Linked DNA regions of Xenopus tropicalis. The protein of the gene in region 1 interacts with the protein of each later gene in a biochemical or structural test. Links are inferred from orthologs where the notes say so. Each region holds a gene or a part of one and is shown in the gene's direction. Other genes may lie near its edges.

The links.
Region 2: the proteins of rnf8 (region 1) and ube2e2 form a complex in vitro, tested with the Homo sapiens proteins (2 studies listed by BioGRID). The link is inferred for Xenopus tropicalis from reciprocal best matches to the Homo sapiens genes RNF8 and UBE2E2.
Region 3: the proteins of rnf8 (region 1) and ube2v2 form a complex in vitro, tested with the Homo sapiens proteins (2 studies listed by BioGRID). The link is inferred for Xenopus tropicalis from reciprocal best matches to the Homo sapiens genes RNF8 and UBE2V2.

What each region holds. Positions count from the first base shown.
Region 1 is NC_030681.2:2,808,502-2,811,676, forward strand, and holds the end of rnf8 (E3 ubiquitin-protein ligase RNF8), read left to right. Parts: coding exon 1-78; coding exon of another isoform or gene 79-85; intron 86-1,856; coding exon of another isoform or gene 1,857-1,859; coding exon 1,860-2,095; 3' UTR 2,096-2,440; intron 2,441-2,527; 3' UTR 2,528-2,609; downstream 2,610-3,175. UniProt on the Homo sapiens protein: E3 ubiquitin-protein ligase that plays a key role in DNA damage signaling via 2 distinct roles: by mediating the 'Lys-63'-linked ubiquitination of histones H2A and H2AX and promoting the recruitment of DNA repair proteins at double-strand breaks (DSBs) sites, and by catalyzing 'Lys-48'-linked ubiquitination to remove target proteins from DNA damage sites.
Region 2 is NC_030682.2:46,453,364-46,457,016, forward strand, and holds part of ube2e2 (ubiquitin-conjugating enzyme E2 E2), read left to right. Parts: intron 1-2,078; coding exon 2,079-2,226; intron 2,227-3,653.
Region 3 is NC_030682.2:113,260,048-113,264,399, forward strand, and holds the start of ube2v2 (ubiquitin-conjugating enzyme E2 variant 2), read left to right. Parts: upstream 1-1,436; 5' UTR 1,437-1,444; coding exon 1,445-1,460; intron 1,461-1,528; exon of another isoform or gene 1,529-1,710; intron 1,711-3,157; coding exon 3,158-3,306; intron 3,307-4,352. UniProt on the Homo sapiens protein: Has no ubiquitin ligase activity on its own. The UBE2V2/UBE2N heterodimer catalyzes the synthesis of non-canonical poly-ubiquitin chains that are linked through 'Lys-63'. This type of poly-ubiquitination does not lead to protein degradation by the proteasome.

The sequences.
Region 1 (3,175 bases):
ACTGCATCGACAGTATGGTGGCCAAGCTGAGCCCCGAGATGAAGAACCGGCGGGCCGCCCTGATATTGGAGCGCAAAGGTGAGAGGTGGGTGACCCCGTAGGGAAGCGTCTCATTATTATCCTTATTATCTCCCTATGGGACCAAACTGGAAATTATATCCTTATAAACACTGCTTAGTGATGTCATCAGTTATAATCGGAGCTTAGTGATGTCATTTCTGTCACATGACTCACTAATAAATACAGTACCCCCTGTTGTAAAATATAAGGATATTAGCAGTCACCTCTGGGTTCAGTTACCTGTATAAAAGCACTCAGCCTGCAGCCTTGTGCCTTTATATGGGCACAGAACCCCTCAGTGACTGCTAATATCCTTATCATTTACAGTAGGGGGTACATTATCCCTTATAATACATGAGTGATACTCAGAGTTCCCTGTATAACTCAGCCTGCAGCCTTGTGCCTTTATATGGGGGGCACAGAACCCCTCAGTGACTGCTAATATCCTTATCATTTACAGTAGGGGGTACATTATCCCTTATAATACATGAGTGATACTCAGAGTTCCCTGTATAACTCAGCCTGCAGCCTTGTGCCTTTATATGGGGGGCACAGAACCCCTCAGTGACTGCTAATATCCTTATCATTTACAGTAGGGGGTACATTATCCCTTATAATACATGAGTGATACTCAGAGTTCCCTGTATAACTCAGCCTGCAGCCTTGTGCCTTTATATGGGGGGCACAGAACCCCTCAGTGACTGCTAATATCCTTATCATTTACAGTAGGGGGTACATTATCCCTTATAATACATGAGTGATACTCAGAGTTCCCTGTATAACTCAGCCTGCAGCCTTGTGCCTTTATATGGGGGGCACAGAACCCCTCAGTGACTGCTAATATCCTTATCATTTACAGTAGGGGGTACTTCATTCACTATATTAATAACGTGTATTTATAAATGAATGGATAATTGCATTGAGCCTACAGATTCCATTAAAAAAACAACCAATAACCTGTACAGGTAGAGCAGTCCCTGTCCTAAAGAGCTTGCACTCTAAAAATAGCTGGACCCCGTTCAGTGCTGAGTAAGGTGCATAATAACTGTTTTATTCCAAGGGTGAGTGTAGGGGTGTAAGGGAGGCAGCTCGGGTGCTGGGCAGGTGGGTGAGCTCTGGGTGTCGCTAATTGGTAGAACCCAGAACAAGGGGAAAGGCCTGTAATTGTAAGAGCCGCCAGCAGAGGTCGCTATGTTCACCCCAAAGCCTGCAGTAAATCTCCTGCCCCGGGCTAATTCTTATTGTGCGGCTATAGAGAGTGGTACTGCCGGGTCTCATTGGTTCTGCTCTTCATTACACTCAAATATGTTGGGGTGCAGCCACGTGGGGTGATTATATGGGCCAAGAATCAGTCCTGTATGGGATTGGGCCTTGGGGGGGATATATATATATATATATATGGGGAACTAAACCCTGCGGCACAGCGCGGCCCAACCAAACGTTACTCAGCTGTTGCCGGACTACAAATCCCAGAATAATGTAACATATAATGAAGGGTGAGGCATGCTGGGAGCTGTAGTCCAGCAACATCAGGGCTGTATTCTTAAAGCAATATTGCCCAATAAAACTTTCCCCCATTAAAATGCAAGAAATCCCCCAATGAGAATCCCAGAGAATCACATGTTTTTCGAGAACTTCTATAGCAAAACTAGGGGGCGCAGTGGGGCAGCGTTATGGGTAACCTGGTCTTGTTGAACTACAACTCCCAGCATGCTCTCTCAGTGAGCGAGGGCTGCACGTCGGGGGCTCCCTGGGGGTCGGGCCACAGGATGTGACGGTTCTGTTCTGTCTCCCTGCAGAGATGGTCCAAGTGGAGGAACCAAGCCCAATTCTCGTGGGCAGTGACAGCAGTTCGTTCCACTTCTCCAGCAGCAGCTCCGACAGCGACGAGCTCTTTTGGTTGGTGAACGATGAGGAAGAGGAAGAGGAGGAGGAGGAGTTCTACCAGGAGTCTCTGTTCGACTGCGGAACCGACGATCTGGACTCCTCGGACTTTGAGTCTGACGATGATGACGATGAGGAAGGCCACTTTTGAATATCATGAATGCGCTCCCCCCCCCCGGCCGTGGAGCAGCCAATCACAGGCGTGGCCTGGAGCTGGGCCGGTACCGGACCGTTACACGCGTGACACATACACTCTACATGTACAGATCTACTTTCCTTCGTGTATTTATTTCCTTTGCATCATGTGACACTGCAGCAACGAGGATTCTGCCGCACCGGGGACTGGGTTTTTCTTTGTGTTTGGGGTGGTTCTGTTGGTTCTATTGGGTCGGGGGCTGAGCAGTTATTAAAGGCACTTTGGATGCTGTGCGCCCCCTATTGTCACCTCTCCCTCTGTAGGGGGGTCAAAAAGGGCAGTATCCTGGCAGGGGGGCAGGTACCATAACGCCTGTTGGTGTATGGGGGGGGGGGGGGTGCAGGTACCATAACGCCTGTTGGTGTATGGGGGGGGGGGGGGGTGCAGGTACCATAACGCCTGTTGGTGTATAGGGGGGGGCAGATAAGGTTCTATTTTGTTACTGAAAAGATTTTTGGAAATAACTTTATTCAGCCTCTTGTCTTTTCTTATGGGGCAGCCTGAAGGGCAGTTAGGGCCGGGTTTGGGGTAAAAAAAAAGTCTAAAGGGGTAATTCACCTTTATATGAACAGTTAGGCTGCAGGATGCAGTTGGGCTTCCTTAGTTTTGCTTTGTTGAGTTATTTAGTTTTTTTTCCCCCCCCAGCAGCTGACTGGTTGCTAGGTTTGTTTTCCCTAGCAACCAGGCAGAGGTGTGAATGAGACTGGAGGGGGGGGGGGGGGGGGGGGGGAGAAGAATAGGATGTTGTGTAACTTGAAGGTAAAGGGGCTATTGGGGCACGTGGAGCATTTTTATTACTTCCCCTTTAAGTTCTTCTGTGGGTTTTAAGGAAGTGGCGGCCTGTGGTTCTGTTTAATTGCCCCGCCCCCCCCCCCCCCCCCGGTGTAGCGCTGAGGCCCCGCCCTGCTCTGTTCCAAGGTGAAGTTCATTACAGAATGGGGTTTATTTGCTGAGATTTCTCCTGTCGGCTCAGAGCTGCCGGGAATCCAAACTGGCTGGGGGGGGTTTCTATTCACAGGCTGAGGGTCCCCCCCC
Region 2 (3,653 bases), on another chromosome or scaffold:
GTGGCTTTGTATGCGCGTGTGTGGCTTTGTATGCGTGTGTGTGTGTGGATTTGTATGCTTGTGTGTGTGTGGATTTGTATGCTTGTGTGTGTGTGTGTGTGTGTGTGAGTGTGTGTTTGAAAAGAACACACATACCCTTTCTACTGGTAGAGTATGGGGCCAATTCTTTTGTGTTTTGACAGACAACAGATTTTCTGCAGGGAAAAATGCAACTGAGAAAATCACCTAGTGTGCCTTATTTATGTTGGTGTCTGAGGTGCAGGAAGAATGTAACTTGCCTAAGGCTACAAAGGCCAAGTAGAATTGGAGTAACGATTAATTATGCAGAAAAATACTTTTTTTCAGTTGCTTTCTATTTTTTTTTTTACTGTTTTCTAAAATTAAAGTTTAAAGTTCCTTTCTAAGGTGTTTTAGTGTTGCAGCTCAGTAATCTAGCTGCCTCGGAACTGTTAGAATTTGCTACGTTAGTTGATACATTTCCCAGTAGCAATTGTGGAATATTAGCAATTATTGTATCAATAATCCCTGAGCATCATTAAGGTTATAATTGATAGAATGGTTTGTTAATAGATACAATAGTTTATCAGGCCCGAACATTTGAAATATTTAATAATTAGGACAGTTTTACAGTTGATGCTCGCCACCCAGAGCTGCTCCAGGGAGACAGTGTCATAGCAAATGCTCAATAGCTGCTGTTGGCTAGTGAAGTTGCAAGAGTTGAGAAGAATCTGTTTGCTTGCCCTTAACTTTATGTGGGATCAGACCATGTTAGTAAACATACAAATGAGGGCTGTATCCAGCTGACACCATGATAACTTAATTTTAATTAAGTTTTCTTTTAATTTTAGTCATCCGTATTTTCCTTTTTTGCACTAATGGGAAAAAGCCTATATTAGCATTTGAGATAAGGAGCAGCTTTTTTAAGATAAGGCTTCCCCTTCTTTCCTCAAGTAGTTTGTTTAATGTGTTTCTCCTCTGTTGACAGCTTGAAGTTGGAAAGTAAAAGTGGTTTCATTTTCTTGTTTAGTGATAGAGAAATCGGTAAACCATAGACATTTCTTAATTAAATGAATAGGCAAGAATTCTGTTAAGCAGAAGGCCTGTTTCTTTAGCTCATTAATACAGTACTTTTAAAGGACATTTCAACCCAAAAAGTTTTGCCTAATAAAAGAAAACATAATTCCAAGCAGCTTTCCGATATGAATTTATTTTAAAAAATTTCAGTACTTTAAAAGTTATTTGTAAGTGTAATTGCTATTGAAAGCAGCGCTTGAAGAATTTTGTGCCGGAGAATTATACCCCATTGAAGAGAATGGTGTTCGACTGCTAAAAGAGGTTGGACACATTCCAATGAATTGGCTCAAGCTTTTCTAAAAATATTAGTTCATTTAAAACGTCCTGACAGTAAAGTTTTAATACATAGAGAAACTGTACCATCCTCAGAAATCCTCATCAGGACTCTTGCCCAGGGAGCCCCAAATATTAACCTATTGGTCATGTGGGCAGAGGGCCTTGCCAGCAAGTAGAATGTAGTACCAATAATGAAAAAAAGGCCCATGTATGTATGGCCATGCCCCATTGTGCCATCGCAACATGCAAATCACACATTTACATCTCAGGGGGCCACCCCCTTGTAGCGGCCCTTTAGGGAAATATGGAACTGCTGGTTTTAAGGTTCCCCACTTGGCTATTGGAGAAAAAAAATTGTTGCAGGTGTTTAAAGTAAAGTGTTAGGGAACTTTTGTGCCAGCACAGCTCATGACGTGGGCCTGTATGTATCAGGCTGTCTTGCTGTTCATATGCCTTTAAGAAGCAGTTTTAACGCGTTTGAAATAGCTATTGTGCTGCAGGCACTTAAAGAAAGGAACTATTGGATCTTACTTTTTTTTTTTTCTTTTTAAAGTCTATGACCTTTTGTGTTTATTAATAACCATACAATTTCCTTTTTTATAAAGTGCATTGAATTCTAGTTCCACTTGAGTTAAGCTGTTTGTGTTTCATTTGTGTTGATCCAGTTGCAGCATTGCAGCTTTTTTTTATATTATCCTGGAATCATCAAGGCATTTTATTTTCCTTAGGTGACATTTCGGACAAGAATTTACCACTGTAACATAAACAGTCAGGGGGTGATCTGTCTCGACATCCTGAAAGATAACTGGAGCCCAGCACTCACAATTTCCAAAGTCCTCCTGTCTATCTGCTCTCTGCTCACAGACTGCAACCCTGGTAAGGACCTCTCTTGTGAAAAATTGCATTAATATGCCTTGAGAGCTATAGAACAATATTGTTTCCTATTATTATCTGGGATATTTATTCTCTGCTCATGGCCTGTGTGTAAAGTAAGATGCAATTAACAGCAATTACCTTGGGCAGCCTATAAGCACCTACCAATCTAGTGCTGTCAGATTATTATTGCCTTGTCAGAATATTATTGCCTTGTGTTTTTTGTGACCTTGCGGACTTACCAGGTGGTGGGGTTACTTCAGGAGTTATGCTTTTAATATCTCCTTGCATGAAGCATTTATTAGAATACAATTTATAAAAGTATTTTATTTCTCTAGCTGGAAGCAGTTCATCATCTATGCTTAAAGCTGTTGTTAACCATCTTCAACCATAATTCAAGCATATTTAGTTAATATTAAGAGAACACTGCAATATTTGGTTTCCTGTGCAGTATTCCGATTAGAAAAACAAGTTTTCTGGGGCTGGCAGTTTGCACAACTAATTTGATTTCTTATCATAATTATTTAAATTGATGCAACCGATATATAAATGAGGGTATCCTTTTGGGTGAAAATGTTTAAAGAGAAGTTGTACCTGCCACTAAATGTTCCTTAGAATACCCTGTCTATGTTCTGATTAAAATAGGTTTGTAATAAAGGCTGGAAAGTGTTCCCAGGTAGCAACCTCTTAAAGCCTATAAGCCTGTATCTTCTACTGTTCTCTTGTTCAAAAGCAAACCTCAGGGTTACTTGACCTGTGTAAAATTTGGCAAATTGAATTACATTACCCTAAATTACTGCATTATGGCTTTATCATTTATTAAGTCCCAAAGTGCCTGCACTTAACTTCTTTAATATGGGGTACCCCCATATTCTCCTTTATAATCCAGATCTCCTTTATCACCTGGCTGATACTACTACATTGTCAAAACCAGGACTGCAGAGAATATAAACAGCCAGAAAGATAATAAAAAGTACACAAAGGGAGGGCAAGCATTATAATAAGTATAATATGCAGAGAGATGAAGTGCCACATGGTACTGGCACATGGAATTGTATAATGCTTTCAGGAAGTCATTGGATGATGCTTATTCACACTTATGGAGACAGAATGCAGAAAAATGGATATGGCAACCATAACAAAAATGGGAGGTATAGTCCCAGTTATACATCATTTTATGTAAAATTCATTTCTAGGTATTGGATTAGCTATATATTAGTTTAGGTAAGTGCAAAAACACAACATAAATATAATATACTAAAGGGAAGAATATTAAAAGCTACTATTCATCCACAACACTGCTTTTTATTAGGTTTCTGAGAATGGTTAATAACAATTCTGCTCATTCTAATACCTGTATTCAGTCCGTTATCCTTAATTTACTTAATCTTATTAGTCATTATAGAGCAGAGCCTGAGTAATCATTTAAT
Region 3 (4,352 bases), on another chromosome or scaffold:
CGCCCGCCCCCTGTGCGCATGCGCGAACGCGCGACACACCCCCGTGCGCAGGTGCGAGTGGGCATGCGCAAACCTTTAAAGAGGTCCCGACTGCTCCGTATGGAAGCCAAATGTAAAAATTTTGTTGCCGCCCCTAAACTTCTGCTGCCCTAGACCCGGGCCTTTGTGGCCTTTCCACAAATCCGGGCCTGAAGGTAGCGATGCGGGCCAGCCATTGGTGGAGCATGGGAGGCATGACACCTGAGGGGTTAAAAAGTGTACCAGCAGTGCAGGCTGGTCTTTCTGTTCTGTGCTGGTGAGGGGGTATGGTCCGCATCTGACCCTCCCACCCAAAAAAAAAAACAAATTGTGTTGTCGATTCTTGCATGGAGGAGTCAGTATTTATGTTTATATTTGTTAAAGTGGTCTGCTGTGGGTTATCAGAGGCTGGCAAGTGTTAGATGGTGTCAGTATCTCTTTAATCATACTTTTACTTCCAAGTCACTGCTTGTAAACAAGCTCAACAGAACTTCTTTTAATACAACTTTTTCAGGATAGGAGTAACAGTGAGTGCAACAAACCCACAAAAAATAGAGGTTCACTGAGGCTTCATTTTTGATATATGTGTGGAAAACAGAATCTCTTACCCAGGGTTGGGGCATGGGTGCAGAACATAAAGGGCTAGTTGGCCTTTAAATGAACTTTTAGTATAATGTAAACATTGATGTTCTGAAACAATTTCCATGTGGTGTCCAGTTTGGGATTTCAGCAGCAGTGATATTTACCCCAGGAACCAGCCAGTGGCTTGAATGAGAGACTAAAAGACAAACAGGAGAGGGTCTAAACAGCAAGATAAGTAATAAAAACAAAAACAATAAGATTGTGGCCCCAGAGACTAAAATATGTCTGGCTTCCGAGGTCAGTGGCCCCCATTTGAAAACTGAAAAAATAGGAATGCAAATAATTAAAAACCTATGAAAAATAAATAATGAAGACCAACTGAAACAGTTGCTAGGAATAGGATATTTTATAAGGAACTAAAAGTTAATGTGAATATTTAACAATATTTAGCAGTATAGCCAAACCAGTTTCCAAACACCTTCAATTGCTAAAGGCATAGTGCTGCCACAGGAAAAATGTTGCTTGATGCCAATGTTACAAATCGTGTAAAAACATAAACAATAGTTTGGAGAATGCGGGCATCGATCCCGCTACCTCTCGCATGCTAAGCGAGCGCTCTACCATTTGAGCTAATTCCCCTCCACATGCTCCCTTTCCCTTCTACTTATTAAATGTGTAAAAGCGCGAACCCGGCAGCCAATCAGCGTTTCCCACTTGATCCGAATGAATGGGAGGCAAGATTAGCAGCGGAAGTGACGTGTGGGTTTGCGGCTGGCGCCCGTTCTGCCTCTCTACGCGCTGACGTCTCATGGTGCGTGGGCTCCGGTCCTGGGCGGCGGAGAAGATGGCGGTGTGCGCAGGTCTGTGTATGCTGGGCCGGGGAGCATAAAAGCCGATGTTGGGGTTTGGAGGGGCAGGGATTGAAGTTGTGTGTGAGGCGCACTCTCGCCGTATGGTTTCAGGGATAAGATGACAAAAGAAAACTCTTGCTTTTCGGGGGTTCTCATTGCCTGCCCATCCTTCAGTTTCCCCCCGGTTGAGTGAATAGGAATTTGGCAGTCAGGGGTCTTAACCCTTTACATGGACTGTTGCTCCCAGCATCCCTTCTGGGTATCTGACCCCTTCTCTGTAGGATCTACTTATCCCTTACAATTTGTTCCATTCAATGTGTCACTTTTACTTTCCCTACTTTTTTGATCTATAGCAGAGCCGAAATGATTTCACATGTCTCTAGCAATGTGTCCTTTCTGCCTTCCTGTGTGCTTCTGCAGTCTATCTAGCTGCTCCATCTAGCTGCTCCATCTAACTGCCCACCCTGCCCCCATATTGGGCCACATGCAGTGCCCACCCTGCTGATGATGTGGCCTTTTGCATATTCCCCCCCCCCCCATATGTCAGCAAGTGGTATGGCCTGCATGGCTGCCCCTTACAGATAGCATGATCTGCTTAGTAACCAACTCTGAATGTGGCATGGCTTGTGCTGTCCAACCATAAAACACTGCCATGTCCAGCTTTGTTCTGTCCCCTGCACCATCCAGTTGCCCTTCCTTCGTTTGCTGCACCCCTTCCTGCACATATTTTGCAATGGCCCTAAACATCTTTGCTCTACAGGATCCAGTCCTCCTGTTGCCATGCAGCCTACATATATTTTGTTCTGCATCTCTCTACTATCCCACTTTTGTTCAGCTTTCTGGAACTAATAAGTTGTGTTCTGCTGCTGCTGAATATATATATATGTATTTGCATTTTCTGGGTGTAGTGTGCCCTGAAGCATCTTACACACCTTGATTCTCTGTTACTGAAGTGTTCTTCCCAGCCTAGTATCACATGCCCATCAGAAATCCACTATCCAGCCATCTTACAAACCTGATCTACCTTCTGCCTATAGTGTTTTAATTTTTTCTATGCTCTGCATGTTGTTTGCTAATGAAAAAATCCCAAGCCTTCCTTTTCCATTAAATTTGGCCCTGAAACCTGTCTGTCTCACTCACTCTGCTACAGTTGGCTGACACATTTCCTGGCCTGATAGTCATACATTTTCCAGCTCTGTTGCACCTTTCACTTTCTGTTTTGTTATATAGTACTCTAATCATCTTGTTTTCAAGGAGTAGCTGTCACTTCCCCTACTTTGATAGATTTAAGTTTAGAAATTAATCATAAGATTATTGTACCACTTATTCTCATAATTTGCTATGGAAGTTGTGTTTCTTCTGTAGATACTTGGTCAAGAGAGAAGTGGTGCAGTAGACACCTATGTATTCAGGGCCTCTGCAGGAGGTTGGTCTGAGTTGGGTAGGCCTCTTGAGTGACTGTCTGGTGATCATCCATGGGCATCTCAGGAACTGGCTCATGCCAAGCTGGGGGGTGGACCTGTGGATTACAAGCAGAACAGTTGTTGTTGAACCTATCAATATATTTGCATTTATTGGTTGGAAGTTCCTAAATTTAAATGTGAAATCTGTATTTGAAATACAAATATGTAAAATTTTAAAATATTTTGAGAAGCAGTGTCTTTATGCTTTACCACTTTTCAATACATATTATTGCGTCCTAACAGGTGTTAAGATGCCTCGTAACTTCCGATTACTGGAAGAACTTGAAGAAGGGCAGAAAGGTGTGGGAGATGGCACTGTCAGCTGGGGCCTTGAAGATGATGAAGATATGACACTCACTAGGTGGACAGGAATGATAATTGGACCCCCTAGGGTGCGTTCTGTAAACTGCGTGTCTTGTAGCAGGCAATCTTGTTTGCAACTTTTTCTGGATAAAACAATTCTTTGAACATAACATGTTTGTGTTGGAACCTGTATATGAAAATATATACTAGCTTGATAGTATTGACAAATACCTCTAAGCATCGGTTCCATAGTGCTGGTCACCTATGTCACGTGCCATTTTTACACCGCATTTTTATGCCATGGTTTTAGAAAGTCCCTACATGGCATAAAAAAATGAAATAAGCATTACTATAGAAAACACAGTAATATACTTGTTGTAAAAAACACACATTACATGCTGATATTTGGCAAGAGACACTAGCATGTGTGATTTCACTTTTAGGAGCTGATACGCCAGAACAAATGATAGTCAATGATGTGTCATAAATATGCAGTGTTTTTTAGGATGGTTGCTGAATTTTTGCAAGATTTCCTTCCTAAATCGTATGCCATTTTTACAGTATTTCAGCAATCTCACTATTTAAAACCCTTTGTTCCGGTCCTTGCATTCATTACAGAAGTCTTTGTGCAAGTTATTACTAATATAAACATACAGTGCAGTTTGTCGTTATTACATCATGTTATGTGTGCCAATGTGCATGACAATGTGATTGACGTAGTGTTGGTGGTTTTTAGGAAACGTGAATTAATGCAAAGGTTTGTTGGCGAGTAGAACAAATCATGGATAATTTAGATATATCATCTGGATCAAGTATGTGCATAAAACACTGATATATTTTACAGGTGTTTCTATGCTGCATTACAGTTTCATGTGTGACACAGCATGTTATTATTGTTTAAATATTTGCTTGGTACTGGTTGGAGTACTACAACATGCTCCTGTTTCCATTCAGTATTCAGAAGGATGCAGTCTCATTTTTGAATAGTCAAATACTGTCCCAAATTTACATACCTGTACTTTAATTTGTATTCTGCATGTTAACTTATTAAGTGATATGACATTCTGGCGTCTCCAATGGAACGGAATTTGCATGTTTTTCCTGGGGCTGGTGTTCCTTTTCAGAGAAACCAGAA